4 linked regions of the Stegostoma tigrinum genome follow. The protein of the gene in region 1 binds, or shares a complex with, the protein of each later gene. Links are inferred from orthologs where the notes say so. Each region holds a gene or a part of one and is shown in the gene's direction. Other genes may lie near its edges. The genes, in order: b9d1, tmem107l, tmem231 and mks1.

Region 1 (7,903 bases):
AGTTTGTATCAATAGACAAAAAAAAAGCTGCCATATGGGGTATTGTCAGCCTGTTCAATTTTTCAGTGGACAATGGAGGACATTTTACAAGGTCTACTCCAGGTCACCATTTATCTAGATGATTTGCTAATAACAGGAAAGTCCAATAAAGAGCACTTACAGAACTTGGACATAGTCCTTAGACATTACACCCATTTGAAGATAAAGTGAGGGTGATCAGAGGTGCTCTGGAGCTTATGTCTTTCCATGTGCTGGTGGATTATTATGGAAAGTTCATACATGACCTGGCCTCCAACCTGGCACCTTTGCATCAATTAGGGTGAGGCAATGACATAGCGTTGTTATCACTGGACTGTTAATCTAGAGACGCAAATAATGTTCTGGGGACCCAGGTTCGAATCCTGCTATGGCAGCTGGTGGAATTTGAATTCAATAAATATCCTGAATTAAGAATCTAATGATGATGGTGAATCCATTGTCGGTTGTCAAAAAAATGCATCTGGTTCACTGATACTGTTTAGGGAAGGAAACTACCATCCCTACCTGGTCTGGCTTGCATGTGACTCCAGACCCACAGCAATGTGTCAGAGATAGTAGGAACTGTAAATGCTGGAGATTCCAAGATATACCAGGTGTAGAGCTGGATGAACACAGCAGGCCAAGCAGCATCAGAGGAGCAGGAACGCTGACGTTTCAGGCCTAGGCCCTTCTTCAGAAATTTCTGAAGAAGGGTCTAGGCATGAAGCATCAGCCTTTCTGCTCCTCTGATGCTGCTTGGCCTGCTGTGTTCATCCAGCTCTATACTTTGTATACCCCACAGCAATGTGGTTGAATTGTAACTGCCGTCTGAGCAATTAAGGATGGGCAATAAATGCTGACTAGCCAATGATGTCCTCATCCCGTGAATGAATAAAGAAAAAAACACTCTGACAAGAGTCAGCCTTGCAAATGGTGATGTAGCCAAGACTTGGCTTTCAGGAAAGTGAAGAAATAGCTGTCATCCTTTATGTTGTTGGCACACTAGGATCCCAAATGAGATCTGGTATTGACATGTGATGCCTCCCTGTATATGGCATCAGGGTAGAATTAGTTCGTGCGTGAAATGATGGAGAGGAATGCCCAATAGCGTATGCATGCAGGAACTCGGTTAATGCAGACTGTAAGTATGCCCAGATAGGGAAAGAAGGTTTGGTGGTCATGTGTGGAGTCAGGAAGTTCTATTAATACCTTTACGAACATAAATTTGTAATAATAACAGACTACAAACTCCCACTAGGTTTACATATAGAGTACAAGACAGTGCTGCCCATAGCTTCAGACTCAATTTAGTGGTGGACTTTAAAAATGAGTCTGTATGATTACAACTTGGAATACTGTCTGGGATGTCATGTAACAAGTGCGGATGCATTGAGCCGCCTCCTGCTGGCAGATACACCACCAGTGGTGCCATCACTGGAACAATCTGTAATGGTTTTAAATATTTTGGACACGCTTCCAGTCACAGCTGACAATATCAGACTTGGGACACAAAACAAATCTGGTCCTGACAAAACTGAAACAGCTAGTACTGATGGGGGAAGCCAAAGGTCCATTACAACCAGTATTGAAATCTTTTTGGACTTGGAGAGACCAGATCACAGGAGATGACACATATTATTATGAGGAGCAAGAATGATTGTCCTGAGCAAAGGTTGCCATCAGATACTGGCTGAACTCCACTAGTGTCATTCAGGGGTTTCCAAAATGAAAATGTGGGTGAGGAGTTATATCTGGTGGCCAGGATTTAAGGCAAATATAGCTGCATTGGTTGGGTAGTACCTAGAGTGCCACAAGGACAAAAACTACCACCAACACCTCTCAAACATTCATGGTAATGGCTGGGTAAGCCCTGGACTTGATTTCTGTTGACTATGCAAGTCTTTCCATGGGCTCAATGTTCTCAGTCATTTTGGATGCCCACTCAAATGTGCATAGAGTTAGTTAATTAAACATGGGGATGATGATAAAAAAAACTGCGCACATCTTTTGCAATACATGGACTGCCAGAAGCATTGGCCACAGAAAACTGACCATTGTTTACCAGCAGGTATTGAGTATGTCCTCAAGTTGACTAGCATTCAACATATAAGGACAGCTTCATACCATCCATGATCCAATGGTCTAGCAAAAAGAGCACTCCAAACTTTGAAGGCAAGCTTAAAGAAACAGCCTACACCTTTATTAGATATCAAATAATAATAGTCCCCAGTAGTAGCTATTCAGTTTCCTAGGTTGATTGTTTTACACTCCTTTGTCTGCCCAGTTGTTCTTCTCTCTGTCTAGGCTCTATCTGGGTATATGAATAGTAAGGGTTTAGAGAGATGTGGGCCAAATGCTGACAAATGGTACTAGGTCAGGTTCAGATGCCTGGTCAGTGCAGATTGGTTGGGCAGAAGGGTCTGTTTCAGTGTTGTGCGAGTCTATGACTCTATAACTAATGGAAAAAAAAGTGTGTTACTGTCCACTGCCCTCCCCATCCATAGGATGTCCCAAAATGCTATAACCACTCCAGTGCATTCACTGTTGCAATAAGGAAAATGTAGCACTCAGTTTGTACCCAATTAACTCCCAAAATGTGACCAATGTCATAATGACCAGCAAATCTGCTATAGTGATATTGATTAAGTCAGTCAATGATTCAACCTTAAGGCCCATCTCAGCATTAGTTTTGGAATTATAATGCTACCCTTAAACACACAGCATCCAGTCATCAAATTACAATTTATCCAATACATTCATACACATGCTTCCCTTAGTCACATTCAATATTTTGGCTGTTTAGTTCAAATTTTAATGGCTGGGTTGAATGTTTCTTTTGTTGTACAAGATAGTGGTTTTGAAAGATTTATTGATGAGGTTCATCCCAATCTGACGATATCACACAGTCTGAATAGAGAATAGGCAATTTACGAGGTCCCTATTTAGACTGCTGTGCCACCTGCAGCTCCTGAAAGCCTTTGTAATTATGCTTACCAAATCAAGATAAATTACACTAATGGTATCATGCAATTAACTATATCTTATTGTTCAGACAAGATGGGCAAAACAAGGATGACGGGATTCAGAATCTTGGCGAACACAGTTCTTAAGATACACGATTGCTTCAAAATTAAATAACAGATCTCAAGCTGAACGAACAAGTACACTATTCTATTCAGAAGGCCCAACAGCTGATGATGTTAAAAATAATCAAATCTAATTTAAGGGACAGATACCGTTGAGAAGTTCTAATGCCTTTAATACCTATAATTACTTTAATCTGAGAACAAATTCCAATGTTTGACAAAAAGGTTCAGCATGCAGGAGAATCCGTTAACAATTTTATTATGATCTCTATAGATTAGTGGAAAACTGGCTGCGGAGCATTGAAATCTGAATTCATAAGAAACAGAATTGTTGTTGGAATTATTGATGAGTCTTTGTCAGATTTATTATAATCGAAAGAAGATTTGACTGTGAATAAAGCTATTCAAATTGTGTTGGAAGCAGAAATCAGGAAGGGTTTATTGATATAATATAAGAGAACAGGAAAACCTTGCCATCGGAGACCAACAAAGTCTAATTTAAGAAGTATGAACACTCTACAGACAGACGTGACAAATAAACACAAAATGTACACTAACAGCAAATACTGTGAGTCACTATCTGTATGGTGGAACAAAAAACCTCATGAGCGTGTCTAGCTAAAATGAAAGAATGCTACATTTGTAAAACTGTTAATTGCTTCCAGAAAATGTGCAGAAGTAGGATACAGTTGGAAAGCAGCAAAAAGCCAATGCTTACTCGCACAAACAGCTTCATATTTTAGAACCTCCTTTTTCAAAATGATACTCTTGTTTGACAATGTACCTGATTGATTAGAAGAGATGCATTCCTATGTGAAATTGGTGATTCAACTGACCCACATTGGCATGCTGCATGTTCATGGATATCCATCAATTTTAAAGTTTATAAAGGTGTGACTGTCACTCATATTATTGCTGAAGAAACAGCAGGTACAGATACTGAGATGAAACTACATGATGCAAGTGAAATAACTGTAAAGCATGAAGGTATTCTAGAAGTAACACTGCATAAAGAAGCATATGATAATTGAAAATATTTATGTTATTCACAAGCCTCACTTTTAAGTCATTACAGTATCTTAATCTGAACATCCTTGCAGTAACTGAAGGACTTCAACTAATTCCAAAAGAACAACTGTAGAAAAACAACCTTGTTGAAGAACTCTAAATTCATGATGGAATTCAAAAGGACAAAGAATCCATTGAGATCACAGATGTTGACATAGGAGGTTTTTTCATACTGTCAACAGGAAGGAAGCCACTGTCTTTACATGGGTTGTGGGGATTTTAAAAATTTCTATAATGACTGAAGAGCTATTGGATGACCAACCTTAGAAACATTTGTCAGAAGAAACAAATACTGAAAACAAGAATTTGTGGTACAATCTAGTTGAGCTTATTCATTAACCTTTAATGGATGCGCATAAAGCAAAACAACACACTGGACAAATTTACAAGACAACTTTGCCTTTATTGCTCGATGACGATGAAAACAGAAACTCAAGAGCAGCATTTCAATCCTGTACACTGCAAGGAACCAAGTACTTGTTTCAACAGAGCAGCTGTCTTCGTTAGCACAACGGTCTAAAAAGGTGATAGTTCATTTTTCACATTTAAGAATTTAGCAAATATGATAGGGTTAGGGTTTTAAGAATGATTGACCTTAATTTTTTTGACTGCTCCAGATTTGCAGCATGCACGTTCGGAAAAATGAGTTAGAGGTTCCGGCATTGGGGCTGGAATTCAGCTGCTGCCAATCACATGCCGCGCAGGCGCAAAGACAGTGACGGGCGTCGTCCTGGAGATGGTGAGGCTGGGAGTCGGTGGGATAAACACGTAAGATTGAGAAACATGCTGTCCGGAAAACCGTCTGTGTTCCTTTTAATGGTCAACGGGCAGATCGAAAGCGCTGATGTAAGCATTGCTTTTATTCAATGTAAGAGGGATGTTATGCCCTGAGTGTTTCGCCTGTATGATCCAGTTTCTATCCTGAAACTCAGTCTGGATGTGAATGTGTCCCGGGCCTGCTGGCGGCAATCCCCTCGGCAACCAACCCATAGTAAGTGCGCTTTAGAATCCTTGTGGCGAGTTGCAAAGAGTATCCTTTATTAGTTACCAATTTCAAAGAATATCCGTTCGTTACTTTGTAAACCAGCTATTATAGTACATGCAATGCAGAGCTCAAGTTCTGAACGCCTCCCTTAGACTAAGGGAGAAACATTTAGTGTGGGTATCTGGTGTATCTGCCAAGGGATCATTTTTGGTAGTCGGAATAACATCTTAACTGCCGCATTTCCTGATCAACACATTCGCAAACAGATGGTCCGCACTTCGCCATCACCCTCTCTTGCAGACTTGGTTCCAGTTAAACCATCGAAGAAACGAAAAATAATGCAAATGCTGGAGTTTTTCTCTTCCCCCGAGGCTACCAGACGTGCTGAGTATATTCAGAATTTTCTGTTTTTATCCCACTTAATCAACATCTCCTTGTTTTCAAATCCCTCCATATTGGGTTTTTCTCCTATTTAAATAATTTCTTCCAGCTCGTCTTATAGGAACTCTGCTTTCATTCTGGGGTCTTGAGCTTGTCTTATTTTAATAACATCATCACTGTGGTCACGTATTCCACTGTGTAAGTCCTTAACCCTGAAAGATTTCCTCACTGCCCCCGCTCCCCCTCCCCATTCTGCAGTTCCTTCTTTTAAACTTGCCTGTTGAGTAAACTTTTGTTCACCTGCCTTAATACCTCCTTATAAAAAATGAACATTCACTGAATTTGAATTAAAACATTTTGGGAGAGCTTTCCAGTTTATTCAAAGAATGCATTACCAATTATAGATTAGAGAAGAGGGTGATAACATTCGGAGTTTTTAATATGGTCTCACTCCAATGACTGTGCTGCTGTCAAAACAGACTCTAGGAAGAACAGTTATAATGTTGATATGAAGGTGAACCCTAGAAAAGATTAGTACTGTAACAAAATGGCCTTGAAGTCAACTCTTTTGAGTCAAAGTTTAAGTTCAGACCTATATTTGCCATTTTTTTTTTAGCTAATAAGTGCATGTTTAGTACTTTGTTTTGCATTAGGAGCAAGGCTCAGTTTTCAGCTCAGAAATACAAATTAAGGTTCTACCAGCCGAAACATCAAAGTATAGGACCAAGCAGGCAAAATGGAGTGTGTTACCATGAATGTGCATGGGAGTTTAAGACACTCTAACACAGACCTCATGTGGCAACAGACCAACAGAAATGTGCCTTCCTGCACTAACCCATATGCTTAATTTATATGTTTAAGTTGACCCCTGTTGTAAGGATGTTTTGATCCCTCAAACATTGACTGACTGCACTGAAATTGTAGTAGCCAGATTGCAACAAAACTGTTTATTCTCCAAATAATATTCAGCCCTTCAGATATAAACTGTTGTTTCAACCCAGGAGAAAGTTATTTCTAATTATTGTCTCATTATATGACAGTGAATAAGTCGCAATGCCAGACTTCTAACAAAATTTGTATTTCTATCTGTATGTTGCAGTTTTGTAACTTTCTCCTGGTTGAAAATTTTGATTCTGTTAAAGCCTTCATGAGATAAAGACTCAAATTCCTGCATGCTGTTAACTGATGTTATAAAAATACTAATTTGATTGCAGATATTTTGTGGGTCTCTGATTTCAAAACATACTAATCTCACCAATATTGAATGTGAAACTTTAAAACCAAGCATATCAGCATTTGAAAAGTTTTGCAATTTTTATTCATTTTAATTCAAATTATTTTTTCCCCAGTTTCCAGAGTTTGATGAGCTGTATTGCAAATACTCCTATGTGTATGGACATGACTGGGCTCCAACAACAGTAAGTGTTGATGTTAGTTCGTTCAGCTCATTGTGGGATAAACATTTAATCCTATAATAATTAATAAATGACTACAAGCTTAGTTACAATGACAGTCTGAATTCTGTGCTTTTCCAATGTAATATAATTTGAATTCTTGGATATCCTTGGATATTGAGTCATTCCAGAATTACAGCTGCCTTGTAGCACTATTCTTATGTTATAGGAGCTAATTAAAATCATAAATTTAAATGAAATGTCACCTCAGTGGTGATGCACTCTTAATGATGTCATTATAAACTACTGAACTCCTTAATGATTGTGCTATTTTTGTTAATCCAAATATTTATTGTAAGAATACTTCTAAATGAAATAAATTGCTTGAGGTTTTTTTGTTGCTAGATAAATAACCCCAGAAACTACACCCCTAGCCTATCTAATTTAAATAAATTGTTAATAAGATTGTGAAGTAGTGTGCTTTTTGTTGATTTTCAACAGTTTCTATACACTGTGTTGTGTACAAAATGTTCTTTTGTAGAAAATAAATTTTAGAAATGTTGTTTTGAAATAATTGAATGGTTTAGGACACTTTCCTGACATTTACAATAACTAAGTCTGTTATGTCTTTTAGCTAATGAGATAGCTTTTTGCATTGTAGACAAATTATCATTCAGAAAGATCATAAATTGACACTCTACAGGTGTAACTAGACTCTCAGTAAAGTGTAGGGGTTAATACATGAAATTTTCATGCCACATCTTTTGGTCTGTAAGAAACAAATAGAACTACAGATTTATGTGGTACACCAAAATTTCCTGAGAATTTTATTACCATGAGAATGACACTGACTGAAAGAAACTTAATTTTACAGGTGAAGATTGGAATTGGAATAAAAACCTCTCTTTGCATATCATCTACATTGTATTTTAATATTTAGTACACATTTTTCTTCTCGAAGTCTTTCCTAA
Region 2 (7,200 bases), on another chromosome or scaffold:
CAGCATTTATATAGTCTGAGAGGAGTATGCTGATTATTTGGTGAATATCCCCTGGCAGACACAGGGAGGAAATGTAAACTCCATAAAGATGGTGGCCTAAGGCTGGAATTGAACCCAATCCTAAATGCTGTGAGGCAGCAGTACTAAACACTGCGCTACTGTTGCTCTGAGAAATAGGCCACTGATTGGCAGAGACGGTCACTTTTCCAGATATGTGTTAATGACATAAACATTAGTGTACAGGACACCATTTCACAATTTGCAGATGAGAGGAAATTTGGAAGAATTATAAACTGTGGGGAGGATAATGAATAGGCTTGTTCAACAGCAGATGTATGGACAACAATACAGTCTGCCCAAACGGTCTTAATCAACCAACCATTGGTGTTCTATATGCAGGAAGTACAGGCAGAGGAACCTGAAAGCAGATGCTTGTTCAATCAGAGGCTGCTTCTTTTCCCCCATTTGATGCTGATGGGTTTGGCATTGAGCCTACCAGCCGTGCATTTGGGAGAGAAAATGACCTCTAATTGGGAAAACAGTGAGCTAGGCAAACATTAGTAGCTTAATCTAGCCTGATGACTGCAAACTGGGAGCAGTGACAATTCAACTTCTGTTTGAGGGGGAGGAGAGGGGATATTAGCCTAAATTGTGGTTGTGAGGGAAAAATATTCTGGGTTATGGAGCAAATCAGGAGGAAGATAAGGTTCTCTTCTTCCTATGCAGATGCCAGTCCCTTAATGGAGGTAGTCAAAAGGTGGTAAGCTGGGTGAAAGTGAGGTTTGCAGCAGGAAAGAAAGCATGAGTGTTTGAAAGATAGCATGTTGTTGTGTGTAAGTAAAATAGAGATATTGCATGAGTGAGAGAGTGTGAAAATAAAGGAGACTGTGTGTGAGTTGGTGAGGGGTGTTGAAGAAAGAGGCTGTGTGATTGTGACTATGTGCTATAAGAGAGAGAGAATCAGTGAAAATGTGTGTGTGACAGAGGTGGAGTGTGTGAGAGACACTCTGATTGGGGGATCGAGAGAGTGTGTGAGTGAGAAAGAAAGACATCTTGTTGAGGTTGTTGCAGAGCAAGCTCTTCCTCAAAATATACCAGCGCAAAAGGTACTAAGGCTAGATTGTTGAAGATTCTTTCTCAAAACATGTCTTTAGTCCTAATAGTTCACAGATTCCTACTTCAGTGCAAAATGCTTCGTTAACTATACCCAGCAACTTTGCTGCAATGACCTCTTACTCGTTTTCAGAACCAGAACATCTAATTTAATTTATCCTGGAGTACTTGAGGGCTGCAGCACCAACCATCAGTATGCAAGGAGCAATCATCTATGCAGTGATACAGAGGGCCAATAGAATGAGTGACACTCCAAAACTACACATGTTGCTCTCATAAAGCAATGGAGATTAGCACTTCAGTGCTCTAGTTGTAACTCCATGTGATTGTATGTAAGTCTCCTCAAGCTTGGCTATCAGCAACACAGAGGATTTTACAGAAGAAAGAGATCACATTAAAATAGTAGAACATGCTTTCCTGCTCCTCTGATGCTGCTTGACCTGCTGTGTTCATCCAGCTCTACAATTTGTTACCTCAGATTCTCCAGCGTCGGCAGTTCCTACTATCTCTGAAACCATATTTGCGAAGTGTTATTTTTACTGCAATAATATTGACACCCAACCACCCAAAGTGATTTTGTGCTTCTTTATTCTTTCTTCTCCTATTGCCTTGTATTTAAATCAAGTAAGTCTAAACTTACTCTCTTCTGAACTCCATCGGATAGAAGAATCAACTGCCCTCTTTTCCTTGTGAGACAACTCACTCAATCCACCTATCAATCTGATAAGCAATCTCTGAACCTCTTTGAACACACTTATATCCTTCCTCAAATGGGGAGATTAATAATGTAAACAGAACTCCAGATGTCACCAATGTCTTGTATAACTGAAGAATAACCTCTTTACTTTTGTACTCAATTTTCCTTGGAATAAATAATAACATTCTATGAGTGTTCCTAATTATTTGCTGTAGTTGTGTGCTAACCTTTTGCTAATCATGATAATCAGTTGCCTAGGGTGACTGTCTATTTGAGTTTGCACATTTTCCCCATGTCTACATGAGCTTCCTCCAGGTACTTCAGTTTCCTCCTGAAGTCCAAAGTTGTGTAGTTTAGGTGGATTGGCATGCTAAATTGCCCATAGCGTCCAGGGATGTGCAAGCTAAGTGAACTAGCCTTGGGAAAAGCAGGGTTGCCAGGATGAGGTGGGGGAGTGTGGGTCTGGGTGGGATTCTCTTCAAAGGGTCCCTGTGAACTTGATGGCCTGCCTCTGCACTGTAGGGATTATACGATCCTATGTATTGGAGCACTCATATCCCTTTGTTGCTCAGGACTCTGTGATCTCTCACAATTTAGTTAATATACTTTTTTTTATTCTTCCTGCTGAAATTAATCATTTCCCACATTATCTGCCACTTACCAGACATTTTCCCACTCACTTAACCTATCTATATTCCTTCATAGCTTTCTTACTTCCTATACCCGACTTACTTACTTTCCTGTATACCTTTGTGCCATCAGTAAATTTAGAAACCATGACTTTGTCCCTTTTATCTAAGTCAGTTATGGGAGTCATACATTAGGCTGTAAAGGCATTTGAGGAAGTGCACAAAAGTTTCACATGAATCATTTAAAGGGTTCTTCTTCAATTATAGAGAGAGATTGGAGATGTCTGGACTTTTCTTTCTTGGAGAGGTTTAAGCGAAGATTTGGTAGAGGCATTCAAATTCCTGGGGGAATCTAGACAAAGTAGACAGGGAGAAGATTATCCTATTGATGGAAAGATATAGAACTTGAGGGCAACGTTTAAAGGCAATTTTGGCAAATGAGGTTTTGCATTCAGGAGGAGACACTGTTACATGCAATGAGTGACTGGGATCTGGAATGAGCTGCCTGAGAATGTGGCTGCAAGTTTAATCAATGTTTTTAAGGATTTGGAATAGTAATTGAAAAGGAAGAATGTCTTTGCCTACACATAATGTGCATAGTAATGGAAATAAGTGAAATGCTTTGAGAGGCCATTGGTTTATTTTATGCTGGAATAATAAAGTGGATCTGTGACAAAAACAGAATTTTCTGGAGAAACTCAACAGGTCTGGCATCATCTGTGGAAAGAAAACAGAGTCAATGTTTCGAGTCTGCTGACCCTTCTTCAGAACTGTTGAATCAATGACTGCAAACAAAAAAAAATGCTGGACTCACAATGTGTTGCGCAACATCCATGGAGAGAGCAAGGCTATTTTTTGAGTCTAGATGACTCTTCAAGGCTATGATGAAAACTCACCTAGACTCTAAACATGAGCTTGCTCAGTTCTGAGGAAGGGTCACCAGACCTGAAACGTTAACTCTGATGTTTCCTTCACAATGCTGCCAGGCTTGCTGAGCTTTTCCAGCAACTTCTGTTTTGTTCCACTGTGATTTTTCGCATTTTTTTGTTTTCAGTACAGTTGCCATCATCTGCAGTAATTTGTTCCAAAATTGTGGTGAATCTATGACTCTGTTATGCGCTGTGCGAGTTCCGATCCTAAATTTTGTTAACTTCCACAACAGCAAATGGAATTAAGGGGTTTATCTTAACTTTTCGGTATAGTTCCAGTCATTCCACAGCTCAAGAAGTATTGGCCAATTCCGCCTCAATTATTGAAGTAGTCAATGTCGTGGGTATCTTCCCAGAATGCAAAGCGAAGCAGACAACTTAGTCACGTGAGATAATAAAATGTGAGGCTGGATGAACACAGCAGGCCAAGCAGCATCTCAGGAGCACAAAAGCTGACGTTTCGGGCCTAGACCCTTCGTCAGAGAGGGGGATGGGGAGAGGGAACCACCTCCTTGACCTGTCTGTCTTCCCTGGATCTGCCTCCCTAACCGGTTCTTCCTCTCACCCATCCCTTCCTCCAGCCCCAAGCCGCACCCCCAGCTACCTACTAACCTCATCCCACCTCCTTGACCTGTCCGTCTTCCCTGGACTGACCTATCCCCTCCCTACCTCCCCACCTATACTCTCTCCACCTATCTTCTTTACTCTCCATCTTCGGTCCGCCTCCCCCTCTCTCCCTATTTATTCCAGTTCCCTCTCCCCATCCCCCTCTCTGATGAAGGGTCTAGGCCCGAAACGTCAGCTTTTGTGCTCCTGAGATGCTGCTTGGCCTGCTGTGTTCATCCAGCCTCACATTTTATTATCTTGGAATTCTCCAGCATCTGCAGTTCCCATTATCTCTAACATAGTCACGCGGACTAGAAAGCGGGAGAAACCCCAGTGCGCAAGCGCGTAGAGTTAAGTCGCTGGCCGTCGTTTCTGAAGCGGAGGCGGAGAGAGACTTGGCAGAGGATTAGGAGAATTGGGAATCTGGGCGGTGAGATGGGGTGTTGGGGATCTGCCCAGCGGGATAGGGAGATTCGGAAATGAGGATGATGTCGTTATTTATGCTCCTGTTTTGGCTTTGCGGTGTGAAGAGCCGCGGTTACCTTGGCAACCTGCCGCCATTTTGTTTAAGGCACCAGCGGCGATAGGCTCGGCTCTTCCGAGAACAGCAGCAGCATTGAGTGTTTCCTCTGCCAATGACTATCCTGTCCAGCGTCCGCGGCCCGTATTACTGTTTCTGACTTCCCATGCCCAACGCTTCCGCAATGCGTAGTAGAACTTCGATCCAGGTGAACCCTCCGCCTCTCGGATCATCGGTAGAAGCTAGACCTGCCTCCTATTTGTGGCAGTAACTATCGTATCTTAGTAAGTTAGTTTGTTTACATATCTGAAAGCTGCATTGAAAAATCGCGGAGAAAAGGTAGATAAGATAAATGGATGGGTGTAGGCGGCCGTAGTAAGGTTAGCGGGAGACAAGGTAGATTCACAGGTGATGAGTGTGTTCAAGAATGAGTGAAGAAGAGATGGGGCCAGGTTGGTGAGGGAATAGGATGTCAGATAGAGGAGGGGTAGGGTGTCAAATGAGTAAGGTAGGATACTGTATGAGTTGGAACGAGTGGGGTGGCAGATAGGTGAAGCAGGCCGGATATTAATGGGACACGGGCTAGAGTGTCAGGTGGTTGAAGGTGTACCATGAATCTCAGGGCTGGTTAGGAATGTGTTAAGTCAGGAGTAGTTCATGTTAGTTAGGAGTTTGGTTTTGGAGGATTTTGGGCAGTGGAGGCAGTAAGGTTGTTGCAATACTGTTAGCTGTGAATAGAGTGGTCGATGTTATCAGAGATAATGGGAACTGCAGATGCTGGAGAATCCAAGATAATAAAGCAGGCCAAGCAGCATCTCAGGAGCACAAAAGCTGACATTTCGGGCCTAGACCCTTCATCAGAGATATGGTTGCTGAAGGATTACTGCAAGTGTTAATTGTTTTATATCCCCTGAGTGACTTCAGATAATTTACAACCCTCCATATGTCAGATCTTTAAAATTACACCCCTTTATGGGGTCACTTTTTTAAAATATGAATGTTTGTAAGTTGGATGTTCATAAATTAGGGATCCCTCTAATTGTGGGTAAATTAATCTTCTTCTGGTTTGTGAAAATCAAATTAGCAGAGGGTGACAATGAGGAAAAATTCATACGGTGTATCCTAGAATAAAATGTTGTGAATCTAACCAGGTATTAGGCTGTTTTAAGTCTGGTAATGTGTATAATGAATGATTTGGGTAAAACTTCCCAAGGAAACAGTGATCGCCCTGATAATATGGCAGAATTTAGCGTTCAGTTTAAGTGGTAGAAACTTGGATCAAAAACAACCAAACTTATCTCCACTTATCTGGATTCCATTTTCTCCCCCTTGGTCCAGGAACTCCCTCCTATGTCTGTGACACCAGCCATGCTCTTCACCTCCTCCTGAACTTCCAATTCCCTGGTCCCCAATACCTCATTTTTACTCTGGACATCCAGTCCCTACACACCTGCATTCCCCATGCTGATGGCCTAAAAGCCCTCCACTTCTTCCTGTTCTGCACACCTGATCAGTGCCCCTCCGCTGACGCCCTCAACCGCTTATCCGAACTCGTCTTCACCCTCGACAGCTTCTTCTTTAATTCCTCCCACTTCCTTCAGACAAAGGGGGTGGCCATGGGTACCCGCATGGGCCCAAGCTATGCCTGCCTCTTTGCAGGGTACGTGGAACAATCCCTCTTCCAAAGCTACGCTGGCCCTATCCCCCATGTCTTCCTCCGTTACATTGACTTTCAGTGCCACCTCGTGTTCCCACAAGGAGCTTGAATAGCTCATCTGCTTCACTAACACCTTCCATCCCAACCTTAAGTTTACCTGGACAATCTCTGACACGTCTCGCTCCATCCTGGACCTCTATCTCCATCTCTGGCATCCACCTGGAAATCGATATCCATTTTAAGCCTACCGACTCCCACAACTACCTAGAATATTCCTCCTCTCATCCACCTTCCTGTAAAAAGGCCATCCCCTATTCCCAATTCGTTCACCTCTGCCACATCTGCACCTGAGATGAGACATTTCAGTCCTGAACATTCCAGATGTCCTCTTTTTTTCAAAAACCGCAACTTCCCCTCCACAGTGATTGAAAATGCTCTTGACCGTGTCTCCCGCATTTCCTGCAACTCATCTCTCATACCCGCATCGCAATAATAGCCAAAACATAATCCCCCTCGTCGTCACGTCCCACCCCAACAACCTCCAAATCCAACGCATCATCCTCCGACATCTTCACCATTTGCAATCTAACTCTACGACCAAAGGTATTTTTCCCTCCACACCAGGATGTGCTTTCCGGAGGGACCACTCTCTCAGTGATTCCCTTGTCTGCTCCACACTCCCCTCCATCCCCACCGCCCCCGGCACTTTTCCCTGCAACCAAAGCAAGTGCTGCACCTGCTGCTATACCTCCCCCTCTTCGCCCATCCTAGGCCCTAAGAAGACTTTACACATTAACAGAAACAGGTGAACATCTGTTTAATGTGATATACTGTATCTGCTGTTCCCGTATTGGCTGCCTCTACATCGGGGAAACCAAATGGAGGCTTGGGGACTGCTTTGTGGAACACTTATGCTCAGCTCACAACAAATAACTACACCTCCCAGTCGTGAACCATTTCACCAACCCCCCCCCCCCCCCCCCCCCCCCCCCCCACACCTCCCCCAACTCCTTAGACGACATGTCCATCCTGGGCCTCCTCCAGTGCCA
Region 3 (7,665 bases), on another chromosome or scaffold:
ACAGTATGAGCTGGAGGGATACAGCAGGCCAGGCAGCATCAGAGGAGCAAGAAAGTTAATGTTTTTGGTTTGGGACCTTACTTCAGAAATAAGGATGGGGAAGGGAGCTGGGAAATAAACAGAGAGGAGGGGTGAGACGAGGGAGGTAGGTTGGATGGTGGTAGGTGAGCGTAGGTAGGCAGTGGTGGGGATTGGTCAGTGAGATGAGTCGGGGGGATAGGTAGGAGAGAAGATGGATAGGTGATTGTTTTTGACTGGTGCAGACTTAGAGGGCCTCTTCCTGTGCTATCAATCTTCGTGAGTTTATGATGGAAAAACGATTAGACATTACCTAAGATCAGAGCCTGGTATATCAATGATTACCACATATAGCAATATGTAATTTAAAAGTATAATAAATTGTGTTGCTTTGAGATCTAAGCCTGAAGACAAGTTCTTGATTTTTCCTTCTCTTTGACCAACCTGTCTTGAGCCTAAACCCCATGCGCCATCAAATTGCACTATAAAAGAAGTTTGAGAACCAGAGAGAACATATTTCAAGTAATTAGCTAAAGACAGTCCCTTTGATATCCCTGGTGATATTCTTTATCTTGTCAAAAGTAAAGTTCCCAGTGGTGTGGAAATTGTTTATAAGTGGATGAAAAACTTTCAACTCAACTGGTTGACAATGTCATCTCCAGTCTCTCAGAAGACAATCTTCAATCCTTGCTTAATGCCTTCACGGAAGCTTACTGAAGAATTGGTTTCAGCCTCACCCTAAAGATAACTCAAATCTTTTATCACCTGTCGCAAGTCAAGTTCTTGTCCATCCATCCATTAAGAACAACAGAGAAATCCTCCCAAATGTGGAAGATTTCCCCCACCTGGGAAGATAGCTGTCATCTATGGCTGACATCAATGACATGGATGACCGTGACATCTGCGCTGATACTAAAACCCTTCTGTATAATGCAGTCATCCTTCTGACTGTTCTACTTGGCTCCAAAACTTCAACAATGTATAAACACCAACTCAAGGTCCTTGAGAAGTACTATCAATGCTGTTTGAGATAGATTCTCTGATCAGCTGGGAGGACAAGTGAACTAACATCAGCATCCATGAAGCAAGAACACCAGCATCAAGACCACGATGATCCAAAAACCATCTGTTTTGGACTGCCACTCGCTTAAGATGCCTGAGCTTTGACTGCCAGAGCAAATCATCTTTGCCCAGTTTGAGGAAGGCACTTGAGCAAGAAGAGGACAAAGGAAGCATTTCAAAGGCTCCCTGAAGACTTACCCCAAGAAATACATCATATATGTCAATGTATGGAAGGACCTTTGTTTAGAAGCAACTGACTTGGAGGAAGGTCCTATTTGAATGGGCACAATTCTTTGAGAACACCCATCAGCGGGAGGAAGTCTGGAAACTAACTAAAGAAAGAAGTGCCAGTGACCTCAAAGCCAAGGACCAATTCCATCACCTAAAAACATCTACCAAATGTGTGGTAGAACAGGAAGTTCTAGGATTGGATTTATTAGCTATGCAAGAATTCACAGGACCAATAAACAGCGACATGGAATTCCGTAAGTGAACAATTGTGATTGTTGGTGATTGATGAAATGACAACTTGTGGTGACTTGAAGACAATCTTTTACATGTAACTGGAGGTAAAGTTGTGTGAGCTGCCACAATGGTAAAGAGCTGGTTCAGTTGATGCATTCAAGCACAATTTAGATTGTTATAATGAAAAAGTACAGAGTCATAGAGCTGCAGTTTGGAAACTGACCCTTTGGTCCAACTCATCCATGCTGATCAGATATCCTAAATTAATCTGGTCCCATTTGCCTGCATTTGGCCTATATCCCTCTAAATGTTGTAATTGTACCAGCCTCCACCATTACCTCTGGCAGCTCATTTCCATATATGCACCACCCTCTGTGAGAAAAAAGTTGTCCCTTTTAAATCCTTTCCCTCTCACCTTAAACTTAAGCCCTCCAGTTTTAGATTCAACTATCCCGGGGAAAACACTGGCTACATTAAGCATATAAGTCCTGCCCTGATTTGCCTTTCCAAAATGCAGCACCTTACCTTTATCTAAATTAAATTCCATCTGCCACTCCTCAGGCCATTGGCCCATCTGATCAAGATCCTGCTGTAATCTGAGGTAACCTTATTCACTTTCCTCTACACCTCCAATTTTGGTGTCATCTGCAAACTTACTAACCCTACCAACTATCTTCACACCCAAATCATTTATATAAATGATGAAAAGCAATGGACCCAGCACTAATCCTTGTGGCACATCACTGGGACTCCAACTCTGAAAAGCAGCACTTTGCCACCACCCTCTGTAGTATACCTTTGAACCAGTTCTGTCTCCTAAGATGCTGCTTGGCCTGCTGTGTTCATCCAGCTCCACACTTTGTCAACTTCCAATTATCTTTGTATCCAAATGGTTCTGAAGAACAGTCACCGGACCCTGAAACGTTAACTCTGGTTTCTCCTCCACAGATGCTGCCAGACCTGTTGAGATTTTCCAGCAACTTTGTTTTTGTTCCTGTATCCAAATGGCTAGTTCTCCCTGTATTTCATGTGATCTAATCTTATTATCTGAAAAAGGAGGAACTGTACATGGAACAAGTGGGGATTAGCACTCGAGTGATTTGTTTTTTCAGAGAGCGAGCACAGACATTACGGTCTTAATTGCCTCCCTCAGCGCATGGACGAACCTACGATTCTGAGAACGATCAAGCAGAGTTCTGAATGATAAAATGTGAGGCTGGATGAACACAGCAGGCCCAGCAGCATTTCAGGAGCACAAAAGCTGACGTTTCGAGCCTAGACCCTTCATCAGAGAGGGGGATGGGGTGAGGGTTCTGGAATAAATAGGGAGAGAGGGGGAGGCGGACCGAAGATGGAGAGAAAAGAGGATAGGTGGAGAGGAGAGTATAGGTGGGGAGGTAGGGAGGGGATAGGTCAGTCCAGGGAAGACGGACAGGTCAAGGAGGTGGGATGAGGTTAGTAGGTAGGAGATGGAGGTGCGGCTTGGGGTGGGAGGAAGGGATGGGTGAGAGGAAGAACAGGTTAGGGAAGCAGAGACAGGTTGGACTGGTTTTGGGATGAGGTGGGGGGAGGGGACGAGCTGGGCTGGTTGTGTGGTGCAGTGGGGGGAGGGGACGAACTGGGCTGGTTTTGGGATGCGGTGGGGGGAGGGGACGAACTGGGGTGGTTTTGGGATGCGGTGGGGGAAGGGGAGATTTTGAAGCTGGTGAAGTCCACTTGATACCATTGGGCTGCAGGGTTCCCAAGCGGAATATGAGTTGCTGTTCCTGCAAACTTCGGGTGGCATCATTGTGGCAGTGCAGGAGGCCCATGATGGACATGTCATCTAAAGACTGGAAGGGGGAGTGGAAATGGTTTGCGACTGGGAGTGCAGTTGTTTATTGCGAACCGAGCGGAGGTGTTCTGCAAAGCGGACCCCAAGCCTCTGCTTGGTTTCCCCAATGTAGAGGAGGCCACACCGGGTACAATGGATGCAGTATACCACATTGGCAGATGTGCAGGTGAACCTCTGTTTAACATGGAAAGTCATCTTGGGGCCTGGGATAGGGGTGATGGAGGAGGTGTGGGGGCAAGCGTAGCATTTCCTGTGGTTGCAGGGGAAGGTGCCGGGTGTGGTGGGGTTGGAGGGCAGTGTGGAGCGAACAAGGGAGTCACGGAGAGAGTGTCTCTCCGGAAAGCAGACAGGGGTGGGGATGGAAAAATGTCTTGGGTGGTGGAGTCGGATTGTAGATGGCGGAAGTGTCGGAGGATGATGCGTTGTATCCGGAGGTTGGTGGGGTGGTGTGTGAGAACGAGGGGGATCCAATTTGGGCGGTTGTGGCGGGGGCGGGGTGTGACGGATGTGTTGCGGGAGACGCGGTCAAGGGCGTTCTCGACCACTGTGGGGGGGAATTTGCGGTCCTTGAAGGACCTCCGCCGCATCTGCTCCCACGATGAGGCATTCCACTCCCGCACATCCCAGATGTCCAAGTTCTTCAAGGGCCGCAACTTTCCCCCCACAGTGGCCCTTGACCGCGTCTCCCGCATTTCCTGCAACACATCCCAGCCCAGTTCGTCCCCTCCATCCACTGCATCCCAAAACCAGTCCAACCTATCTCTGCTTCCCTAACCTGTTCTTCCTCTCACCCATCCCTTCCTCCCACCCCAAGCTGCACCTCCATCTCCTACCTACTAACCTCATCCCACCTCCTTGACCTGTCCGTCTTCCCTGGACTGACTTATCCCCTCCCTACCTCCCCACCTACACTCTCTCCTCCTATCTTCTTTTCTCCATCTTTGGTCCGCCTCCCCCTCTCTCCCTATTTATTCCAGTTCCCTCCCCCCATCCCCCTCTCTGATGAAGGGTCTAGGCCCGAAACGTCAGCTTTTGTGCTCCTGAGATGCTGCTTGGCCTGCTGTGTTCATCCAGCCTCACATTTTATTATCAAGGATTCTCCAGCATCTGCAGTTCCCATTATCACAGAGTTCTGAATGAGATTTGCGGGTCGGGGTGAGCGGGGGGGGGGGAACGACATCGCCCTCCAGCTCTGATTGGATGGATCTCGGCGAAGGCCGGACCCTGTCGTCCTGTGATTGGGCGGTACCGCTATCAGTCGCGATAGCCCCGCCTCTCACCGCGCGGCCTGACGACAGTTGCCCTGGGAAGCTGACGCCAAACTTGAATCGAAGTGGTGGTTTCTCCAGGAACACTCGGCTACCAATGGCCATCTACGAAGTTTATTCGCACCCGTCTTTAATTCGTTACAAAACAAGCATTTTCACCAAAGCTACGTTGTTCTTATTGATAGTCGTGGCGCTGACGTACATCCCGCCGCTTTTGGTTGCCTTCAGGAGTCATGGTAAGAGATTTAATTCAGTCTGCTGACAGACCATTGGCCTACTTAAATACTTTCTTAGATATGTTCGAATTAGAAATCTGAGTGATGTGGTTTTTATTGTTGTTTCTACGGTTTGGTGTAAATGAAGCTAATTGTATGACGTATTATGTTTGTGAGGGAAATAGTACGATTTATGGAACCTTTGGTGGGACCATTACTGGAGAATTTTGTGTAATTTTGATCTTTTTAGCAAAGAAAGTAAATATTTGCTTTAGGGGGTAATTAGACTGATTCCCGGGATGAGGGGTTTTCCTAGAAGAATAATTTATAGGTTGTGTCTGTGTTAACTAGAATTTAAATGAATGAGATCTCACTAAAGTATACAAAATCCTAAAGAGATATGATGCGGTCAGTGCAGGGAAGATGATTTCCCCTTGCTGGCAAGTTTGGAGTTCAAAATCACCACCTCAGAATAGAGGTTTGAATATTTGAAGGACTGATTTGAAGTGAAATTTCATTGCAGTCAAAGGTTTTAACGTTTGGTTGTTTGGTGGGGAGTGGGGAGTGAGGAGTGAATGATAGATGGAGATGGAGATGGAAATTGAGGGAAAAATAGATAGGCAGACAGAAGTATGGGTAAAGGTCAGCCTGGGAGAATCAATTGCTGCTAATGGAGACTGTTAGTGGCTGAAAGTGGATTGTATATGGTGGCAGTTCATGTGATAAAGTAGAAAATAAGATGCTGTTCTTCGAGCTTGCTCTGAGCTTTGCTGGAGCAAGCCTGAGACATCGGTTTGGGAATGTGGTGGTGTTAAAATGGCAATAGATTTTGGTTATTAATACATATGGGGAAACTGCAGGAAAGTGGAATAGGAATGGAAGATTCCCCATAAATGATTGAGCTACTCTCGCTCCCTTTTATATGTTCTGTTTGGTATTTTTTCATGAATGGGTAGAGGCTTGTAAATAGTTGTCTGAATTTGAACGCATTTTGCTTCTGCATTGGAAACCATTTTACAGTTTTGTAAAATTCTATCATTGGATCTGTACATTACTAGCAAGGGCAGCATTTATTGTCTTTGAACTGGGTGACTTGCTAGCCTTTTTCAGTGGGCAATTATGAGTGAAACACATCAGGGATTCGCATGTAGACCAAACTAGGTAAGGATGCCAGATTTCTTTTCTTGAAGAACATTCGTGAACTAGATTGACTTTTACAAAGTCAATGATAGTTTCATGGTCACCCCAAGACCAGCTTTTAATTCTAGATTCATGAATTCAACTTAAACGCCACCAAGTGCCAATGGTAGGATTTAAAATGAGGTCAAGAGAGCATTAGCTTGAGTCTCTGGTCCACTGCCATGACCACTATGCCACTAGATACCCTAAAAAGTAAAATAAATGATCTCCTGAAATTGAGATTGTTGTCTTCAAAATTGACATTCAGAATGTCTGAATGTGGGAGTGATAGGCTATGTTTAGTGAAATTGAGATGGATATGGATAGGCAAAATATCTCTTCTTGTCCTTCTTTACCGGTCTGCATCTTTTGTCTGGTTGACCAAGCCATTCCCCAGTAACATCACTCCATGCCATCCAGTTGTGGGATTGCACTTGCCTGGTTACAATTATAGCTATCTAATTATAGCCAGCAAATCACTTGCATGACTTCCTGTTCCCAGTCTCCTAATATTCATAACACAGTGTGGACCTGGAGGAACATAGCAGGCCAGCCAGCATCAGAGGAGTAGGAAAGTTGACGTTTTGCGTCAAGGCCCTTCTTCAGATTTCTGAAGAAAGCTCCCGACCTGAAACATCAGCTTTTCTGCTCTGACTCCAGCATTTCTGCTCTGACTCCAGCATCAGCAGTTCTTACTATCTCCTTTTTTCATTTCTTTTATCCATGTGCTGCCACTTGGTGACACATTTGAAAAGGGTGTGAGATTCTGCATGTTTGCTTGCTGAACCCAGTTCTAGCCCACTACTATCTGTCATGACCCCTTCATGCTGTCTAAAAATTCCCAGACTGCTTGGTTGATATAAAGTACATGTTGAAGAGAAATTTCCTCCAACTAATATTGGGAAGAACAAAGCTGCTGTAATTAATTGTTGCTGTCAGGTAGCACCTGTTCAGCAATGATCTGCTCACTGATGTTCACTTTGGATTCTGCCAAGGCCACTCAGCTCCTGATGTCATTACAATCTTAATTCAGATATGAACAAAGAACTGGACTTAAAGTGAATTGAGAGTGACTGCCTTTCACATGAAGGCAACATTCAACTCAGTAAGGCATCAAGGAGCCTGAATAAAACTGGGTACAGTGGGAACTGGAGAGCAAGCTCTTCACTGAATGGAGTCATACATGAAAAGGTTGTAATTGTTAGAGGCCAAACATCTCATTCCCGGGACTAGTGTCCTAATCTCAAACACCTTCACTGTGTCATCAGTGACCTTCTGTCCATCACAGGGTTAAAAGTGAGCGTGCAATCATCAGTGAACAAATGTCCAGAATTATTCATAATTTGTGCCCATATGCAGCATTGCAGACTAGAACTAATAGGTGGTAAGTAACAATCTCACAGTACAAGTGGCAAGCAATGACCATCTCCAATAGGACAGAATTTAACATTCGGTGTCTATTCATTAATGTAATGTGAAAGCCACCAGCTAGGGCGGCATTCATTACCTATCCGTAGTTGCCCTTGAGAAAGTAGTGATGAGCTGCTTTTGTTACTGCTGCAGTTCTTTTGATAGGCACACCCACAATACTATTTGGGAGATGTTTTCAGGATTCCACTGGAAT
Region 4 (7,174 bases), on another chromosome or scaffold:
TACTTGTCTCATTCTATCTTAAAATGTTTTTTTCTTAATGTAACCCTCCCTCTTTCATGGATCAACTCAAAGGTAAAGCTACTCACTGTCTCAATTTAGTTAATTCTCACATATCCCAAATGAAAAGCAGGTTATAGTAAGTTGGCAACCTGTTTTTAGACCTGCTTGATCTACCTTTCTTTTCTTTCAACTTCACTAAAAAAGTTGGGTAACATGTGAAATAGCTTATTGCCTGTTTCCATCCAGCAATTGAAGTTGTAAGTACCCCAAATTTCAGTTACATATTGCATAGTGTTGTTTTGGCTAATTCAGTATTTTGTCCTTGTGTATTGCATCTGTATTCCACTTCACTACTTCTTAATCCTAACATTATAACTTTTAGCACATGCCCCAGTGAATAATTTGTATGTTTTAGCTTCATTTTTGGGGGGGGGATCTTGAAAGTGTTAAAGACATGTCCTTTATATGAAAAAGGCAAGTATGTTTACAGTATGGCCTCTTACCGTATCTCATCCACAGACCCCATCCCACCAATTCCCCAGCCCAGTGGAGATTATGTACCTAGCTTCTTGCTCCTTTTATATAGTGGATCTTTTAACCACTGGGTTCTCTTTCAGAGTTTCTGAAGAACAGAGATTTCCTAATTACAATATGGAGACACCTATCTTGTTGATACAGATTTTGCTTTTCATGGAAGTGAAGCCAGGACAATGTGAAACCTATTAAAAGATTGTAATTTCTGAAGAAAAATGCATAAGAGTTATATTTTTGAATACAAAGAGCTAAATAGACTGATCAATTTGTACATTGAATATTTTTCTTTGCTATTCCACTTAGCTTGCTCTATTTGAAGGTAACTGTCATTTTTGTTACTGTTTGCTTTTAGTCCAGGACATGTGTAAAGTTTGCTTTGTATTTATGGCATTTGTGCAATGGAATGGAAACCAGCCAGAATGTTCTGGAGCATTCAAACAGGCTCACTTTTTTTTCAAAATAAGGTTTGAATTATAGTAAATTAATTTTCCTATGATATGATGGACAATTCATTTTTGTGTTGTACTGGAACATGTATCGTTAAGTTAAATACTGATAGTTCTGATTTGTTTGGAAAAGTAGTTGAGTTTCAATCTCAGACAACACAAATGTTGATGAGGGATTCTAAATGTTGTCTGTATAAAAAGCCTTCATTAGTATTAGTTCAGAGAGGCAATAGGCATTGCTTAAGGAAAGTCCATGCACTCAGTGTATGATACATCTTTTTGCATTGCAGCCAATATTAATAATTAATTTGTGAATCACTTGAACTCTGTTTTAAATGATTCAAAAATGTAATTAAATTCCTTTCATAATTTAAGAAAAACTTTGAACTTTATTGCAAGTGCTATTTCCGGCTTTTTTTTGCCTCAAGTAAATTTGCCCAGCCATGGAGAAAGAATGTTAATAATTTGTCATGCTTTTGCAGTATGACGCTCCAAAGAAATGATTTGAAGGGTATATATACATTGTCAGGTGGAATATGGTGCTTAGACTGCACTCTATTCATAGTGGCAGACTTTAGAAACACCACTTATAGAGCATTCAGTTTTACAAAATGACCAATTTGATTCTATTGGATATCCCAAATTCTAAACAATAGTTTTTCAGTTAGATGTTTATATTTTCTTTTAAAATTTTCAAATGGTAAGCACCAGCCTTGGCAATTGGTATAAGCACATGTGTATATTTTTAAAGTATTTGTGTATTATGGCCATTTGCAAACTCCACTGTTTAGGATAAAGCACTTACTGAAAGTTATTTTCTGATATTTAGTGAAGCACTATAAAATGAGTGCTGATTCTCTCCTATTGCCTTTGCTGTGTTATTGACTTCAAAATCTGTCTCCTGTTCATGAATATGGAGACAGAAACAAATCACTGGCGTGCCTCAGTGATAGAAATTTGCTAAAGATGCAAACCATGATGTTTAAAAATACTTTTTTTACCTCGGAAGTGTTGCCTTTCATATTGTAAAACCTAAATGACTATTTAGATTGCTTTTTGAAATGCTTGTGAAAATAAAGTGTTGCAATGCATTAAAAAGTGCATTATTATACTTTGACTTCTTATATTCTAGGTGATTATAATACATCTGGTAAATTTAAACTTGCGATTTGTAATGTGATATGCCACCCCACATAGACACAATAGGCAAGGTTAATGCAGTTTGGTGCAATGTACCTGAGATTTCAAAAGACCAAAGTGGATTCCTGACTAAATTGAGGTTAGGAACTGAAGGAGCAGACTGACAACCTAGTGTTCCACAGAATGCTGTTTGCAACTATTATTATCTATTATTTATATAAATGTTTACCACCAAATTAGAGGTTTTGTTTATACTGATAAAATATAACAAATGGTAACGTGCAGATTGGGCATGTAAGTGACAAATGATGGGTGTAAGGTGCTGTGGTTTGGTAGGAAAAATAAGGAAGTTATCTTGCAAAATAAGTTAATGTGGTATAAATTCACAAATCATGAAAATTAACTGTGCTGGTTAACAAAGCTCTAAAAATGCAAATAAAACATTCAGGTTCAGAGCTTATATTTTTGTATTTAATTAACTTATTAGTGTTAGATTTGTATTGAAATTTAGACCACATATTGGAATACTGGGCAAATATCTGGTTTCCATTATTGCAAAAGGAGTGTAAAGTAACTTTTGGAGATGTATTCTTGTAGGATTTATTTTGCATTAGAACTGAAAGGTTACAACTACCATGGAAGACTAAACAAGCTTTTCTCTGGATTCAGAAGTGATTGGATTGAGGCCTAAGATTTTAAAGGAGCTTAATGGGGTGGAGAAGATATTTTCACTTGTGGAATAATCCAAAATACAGGGCCATAAATACAACATAACCATTCATAAATATAGCGTAAAACTAGAGTAATTTGACAACACCAAACTGCAAATCTTCTAAGCTTGTGACCTCTATGAAGTCCTGTATAGTAGTGAGATCAGGACTACTTATGGTAGGCAGGGTTAAAAGCTGAGGAACTGCTGTCCCAATTGTATCCTCAGCATCTCTTGGCAAGACAAAAATCACTGACTCTGAGATCCTGGTTTGTGATAGATATACACATTACCAAAAATCTGTAGTGACTTGGTAATGATGTTGGATAGATGATGACTTATGTGGTAAACTGGACATTGAGTCTAATCTCAATAAATATGGAGCTCGAAAAGCACAGCATCTGAGGAGCAGGGAAGTCAATGTTTCCGGTTAAAACCCTTCCAGCATCTGCAGTCTTTACTATCTCCAAGTCACTGTATGAACATCTGCTGGATGTCCATACCTCTGCAACAACATACTTACAAATGAAAACAGCAAACATTGATGTAGGCAATTAGGAGACAGCCACTGAGTGCTGAGGATGATTATTCAGAGGGAAAGCAGAAGAGGCGAGAAGAAATGGGAAGATCAGCTAGCCTAGAAGTGGGCCCAGGGAAAACCAAGTTTTTAAAGGCAGAGACTACAGTTTAAATTTTTCGACAAGATCTGTATCTTGGGTTGTGGATGAAGTTGTAGACATGCTTGCTGAACTGGTGGGCTGGTTGCAAATGTATCATCACCCTGCTAGATAATATCGTCAGTGCACCTCTGGTGAAGTGTTGGTTTTCTGTCTGGCTTGTTATTCATATGTCTCAGTTTGTTGGGGTGTTTGGTACCACTTCCAGCTGTGTTTTTCAGTGAATTAGACCCTGTGTACAAACTAATGTGTTTGTTGATGGAGTTTGGTTAGAATACCAGGCTTCCAGGAATTCCCTGGTGTGTTGCTGTTTGGCTTGAGCGATTATGGACGAGCCTACTGTGCTGGAGTAATACTTCTGCATCACAGTAAGTGATGTTTAACAGAGTTGACCACCAAAGTGCAAGCAACCGCCTTGTGAGTTGGGAGGCTGACAAACTAATAAATTTAGTAAGGAATTTTGGGGAAAATTCTTTAATCAATGTGATAATGTTAAAACAACATTCAGGACATACTCAGCAGGTTTGGCAGTATCTTTGGAGAAATAAATAAAGCTAATAAAGTGCAATGGCTCATTTTAAGCAATCGTGTGGAGTTAAACTGCAATCACACATGATCTTAGTAAATGACAGAGCAGGTTCAAGAGTCCAGGTGGCCTACTCCTCCAATTATGTATGTTGACATATGGGAGACAGGTTAACTGATGTTAAACTGATGAGTTGAAATGAAGTAAGGGGGGGGGGATGCATTTGATCGAGATAAAGACTTAAAATGATTGGGCTGTAAATACTATGAAGTACAAGTGTGATTCTATACAAGCAATGATTGCTACCAAATAGCACCCAACAGCCATGGGTATGGTTGAATTTGCCCTGGGTACTGTTGGAACACTGGACCCACTGAAGAGAAAATATTCTCCTTTAGTTTGCTAAATTTCCTTTTCTGTAATGTGAACGCTAATTGCTGGTGCCCTTGTAGAAGGGCATCTTATGTGATTGGGCCAAACCCAAAAAGAGTGAACGATTCTGGGGAGACAGACTGTGCAAGTTACGGCAGTTTGAGTTGGTGGTCGACGAGGAGAAGGGTCTGCAGAGGTAACAAGGCGTAGAGCTGGATGAACGGAGCAGGTCAAGCGACATCAGAGGAGCAGGAAAGCTGACGTTTCGGGTCTGGACCCTTTTTCAGATAATCATCTGCAGAGGGACAGTGATGGAAATGTCAGCTTGAATTATCGGGACTTACAGCGTTTGTACAGTTGATAACCGGGAGACGTGAGAGCCACGACCGCTGCTGCCTGAGCCGGGCTGGGGCACAGCCCGCAGCTGGAGCTGACGCGGGGATCCGCTCCGACACGAGCTGCAGGAGGCCTGAGGCCTGCTCCGTTACCAAGGAAACCGCGGCTATGGCGGAGTGCGGCAGTGAGCGGGTGGAGGCGGTTTACCGGACCCTCGACCCGGTGAAAAATCTCCGAATCCGGTATGGGCGGGGCGGGATGAAGGGTTTTTTATTATTTCCCCCTTGGAGTGGAGTGGAATGAGAATAGCATATCCTGGGGGCAGGAGTAGGAGTGAGACAAACGCAGGGTCAGGGCCCATTGTGAGAATAATTAATTATTTTGTTGTAAATGACATTAATGTAGGGACGGGGAATGATTGTGTTTAATGTCTGAGGACTGTGTAGAGTGAGGTGGTAGGTCATATTAATGTGGGTTGGAGCATTCAGCTGTGGCATATATAGGATAAAAGAATAGAAAATGTTTTGCTGTTTCAGTATGGGAAGGCGATGTCCTAAAAGGAGGAAGGGGCATTCGTTAACTCTGATTTTGCTTTCTTTACAAATGCTGCCAGACCTGCTGAGCTTTTCCAGCAACTTCTGTTATTCGTCCTAAAAATGGTATTATCACTAGACTGTTAATCCAGAAACACAGCTGGTGTCCTTTAAAGATAACAAAATGTGAGGCTGGATGAACACAGCAGGCCAAGCAGCATCTCAGGAGCACAAAAGCTGACGTTTCGGGCCTAGACCCTTCATCAGAGAGGGGATGGGGGGAGGGAACTGGAATAAATAGGGAGAGAGGGGGAGGCGGACCGAAGATGGAGAGTAAAGAAGATAGGTGGAGAGAGTATAGGTAGGGAGGGGATAGGTCAGTCCAGGGAAGACGGACAGGTCAAGGAGGTGGGATGAGGTGAGTAGGTAGATGGGGGTGCGGCTTGGGGTGGGAGGAAGGGATGGGTGAGAGGAAGAACTGGTTAGGGAGGCAGAGACAGGTTGGACTGGTTTTGGGATGCAGTGGGTGGGGGGGAAGAGCTGGGCTGGTTGTGTGGTGCAGTGGGGGGAGGGGATGAACTGGGCTGGTTTAGGGATGCAGTAGGGGAAGGGGAGATTTTGAAACTGGTGAAGTCCACATTGATACCATATGGCTGCAGGGTTCCCAGGTGGAATATGAGTTGCTGTTCCTGCAACCTTCGGGTGGCATCATTGTGGCAGTGCAGGAGGCCCATGATGGACATGTCATCTAGAGAATGGGAGGGGGAGTGGAAATGGTTTGCGACTGGGAGGTGCAGTTGTTTGTTGCGAACTGAGCGGAGGTGTTCTGCAAAGCGGTCCCCAAGCCTCCGCTTGGTTTCCCCAATGTAGAGGAAGCCGCACCGGGTACAGTGGATTCAGTATACCACATTGGCAGATGTACAGGTGACTCTCTGCTTAATGTGGAATGTCATCTTGGGGCCTGGGATGGGGGTGAGGGAGGAGGTGTGGGGACAAGTGTAGCATTTCCTGCGGTTGCAGGGGAAGGTGCCGGGTGTGGTGGGGTTGGAGGGCAGTGTGGAGCGAACAAGGGAGTCACGGAGAGAGTGGTCTCTCTGGAAAGCAGACAGGGGAGGGGATGGAAAAATGTCTTGGGTGGTGGGGTCGGATTGTAAATGGCGGAAGTGTTGGAGGATCCTTGTGACTCCCTTGTTCGCTCCACACTGCCCTCCAACCCCACCACACCCGGCACCTTCCCCTGCAACCGCAGGAAATGCTACACTTGTCCCCACACCTCCTCCCTCACCCCCATCCCAGGCCCCAAGATGACATTCCACATTAAGCAGAGGTTCACCTGCACATCTGCCAATGTGGTATACTGCATCCACTGTACCCGGTGCGGCTTATTCTACATTGGGGAAACCAAGCGGAGGCTTGGGGACCGCTTTGCAGAACACCTCCGCTCAGTTCGCAACAAACAACTGCACCTCCCAGTCGCAAACCATTTCCACTCCCCCTCCCATTCTCTAGATGACATGTCCATCATGGGCCTCCTGCACTGCCACAATGATGCCACCCGAAGGTTGCAGGAACAGCAACTCATATTCTGCCTGGGAACCCTGCAGCCATATGGTATCAATGTGGACTTCACCAGTTTCAAAATCTCCCCTTCCCCTACTGCATCCCTAAACCAGCCCAGTTCGTCCCCTCCCCCCACTGCACCACACAACCAGCCCAGCTCTTCCCCCCCACCCACTGCATCCCAAAACCAGTCCAACCTGTCTCTGCCTCCCTAACCGGTTCTTCCTCTCACCCATCCCTTCCTCCCACACCAAGCCGCACCCCCAGCTGCCTACTAACCTCATCCCACCTCCTTGACCTGTCCGTCTTCCCTGGACTGACCTATCCCCTCCCTACCTCCC

What was found.
Region 2: b9d1 (region 1) and tmem107l share a complex: the UniProt entries of both Homo sapiens proteins name them as parts of the tectonic-like complex. The link is inferred for Stegostoma tigrinum from reciprocal best matches to the Homo sapiens genes B9D1 and TMEM107.
Region 3: b9d1 (region 1) and tmem231 share a complex: the UniProt entries of both Homo sapiens proteins name them as parts of the tectonic-like complex. The link is inferred for Stegostoma tigrinum from reciprocal best matches to the Homo sapiens genes B9D1 and TMEM231.
Region 4: b9d1 (region 1) and mks1 share a complex: the UniProt entries of both Homo sapiens proteins name them as parts of the tectonic-like complex. The link is inferred for Stegostoma tigrinum from reciprocal best matches to the Homo sapiens genes B9D1 and MKS1.

Annotation. Positions count from the first base shown.
Region 1 is NC_081376.1:40,138,499-40,146,401, reverse strand, and holds the start of b9d1 (B9 domain-containing protein 1), read left to right. Parts: upstream 1-4,883; 5' UTR 4,884-4,955; coding exon 4,956-5,018; intron 5,019-5,028; exon of another isoform or gene 5,029-5,115; coding exon of another isoform or gene 5,116-5,163; intron 5,164-6,887; coding exon 6,888-6,956; intron 6,957-7,903. UniProt on the Homo sapiens protein: Component of the tectonic-like complex, a complex localized at the transition zone of primary cilia and acting as a barrier that prevents diffusion of transmembrane proteins between the cilia and plasma membranes.
Region 2 is NC_081385.1:39,294,991-39,302,190, forward strand, and holds the start of tmem107l (transmembrane protein 107 like), read left to right. Parts: upstream 1-4,178; 5' UTR 4,179-4,778; intron 4,779-5,402; exon of another isoform or gene 5,403-5,497; intron 5,498-7,200. UniProt on the Homo sapiens protein: Plays a role in cilia formation and embryonic patterning. Requires for normal Sonic hedgehog (Shh) signaling in the neural tube and acts in combination with GLI2 and GLI3 to pattern ventral and intermediate neuronal cell types.
Region 3 is NC_081369.1:41,520,820-41,528,484, reverse strand, and holds the start of tmem231 (transmembrane protein 231), read left to right. Parts: upstream 1-4,654; 5' UTR 4,655-4,744; coding exon 4,745-4,883; intron 4,884-7,665. UniProt on the Homo sapiens protein: Transmembrane component of the tectonic-like complex, a complex localized at the transition zone of primary cilia and acting as a barrier that prevents diffusion of transmembrane proteins between the cilia and plasma membranes.
Region 4 is NC_081380.1:13,791,002-13,798,175, reverse strand, and holds the start of mks1 (Meckel syndrome type 1 protein), read left to right. Parts: upstream 1-4,161; 5' UTR 4,162-4,908; coding exon 4,909-4,982; intron 4,983-7,174. UniProt on the Homo sapiens protein: Component of the tectonic-like complex, a complex localized at the transition zone of primary cilia and acting as a barrier that prevents diffusion of transmembrane proteins between the cilia and plasma membranes.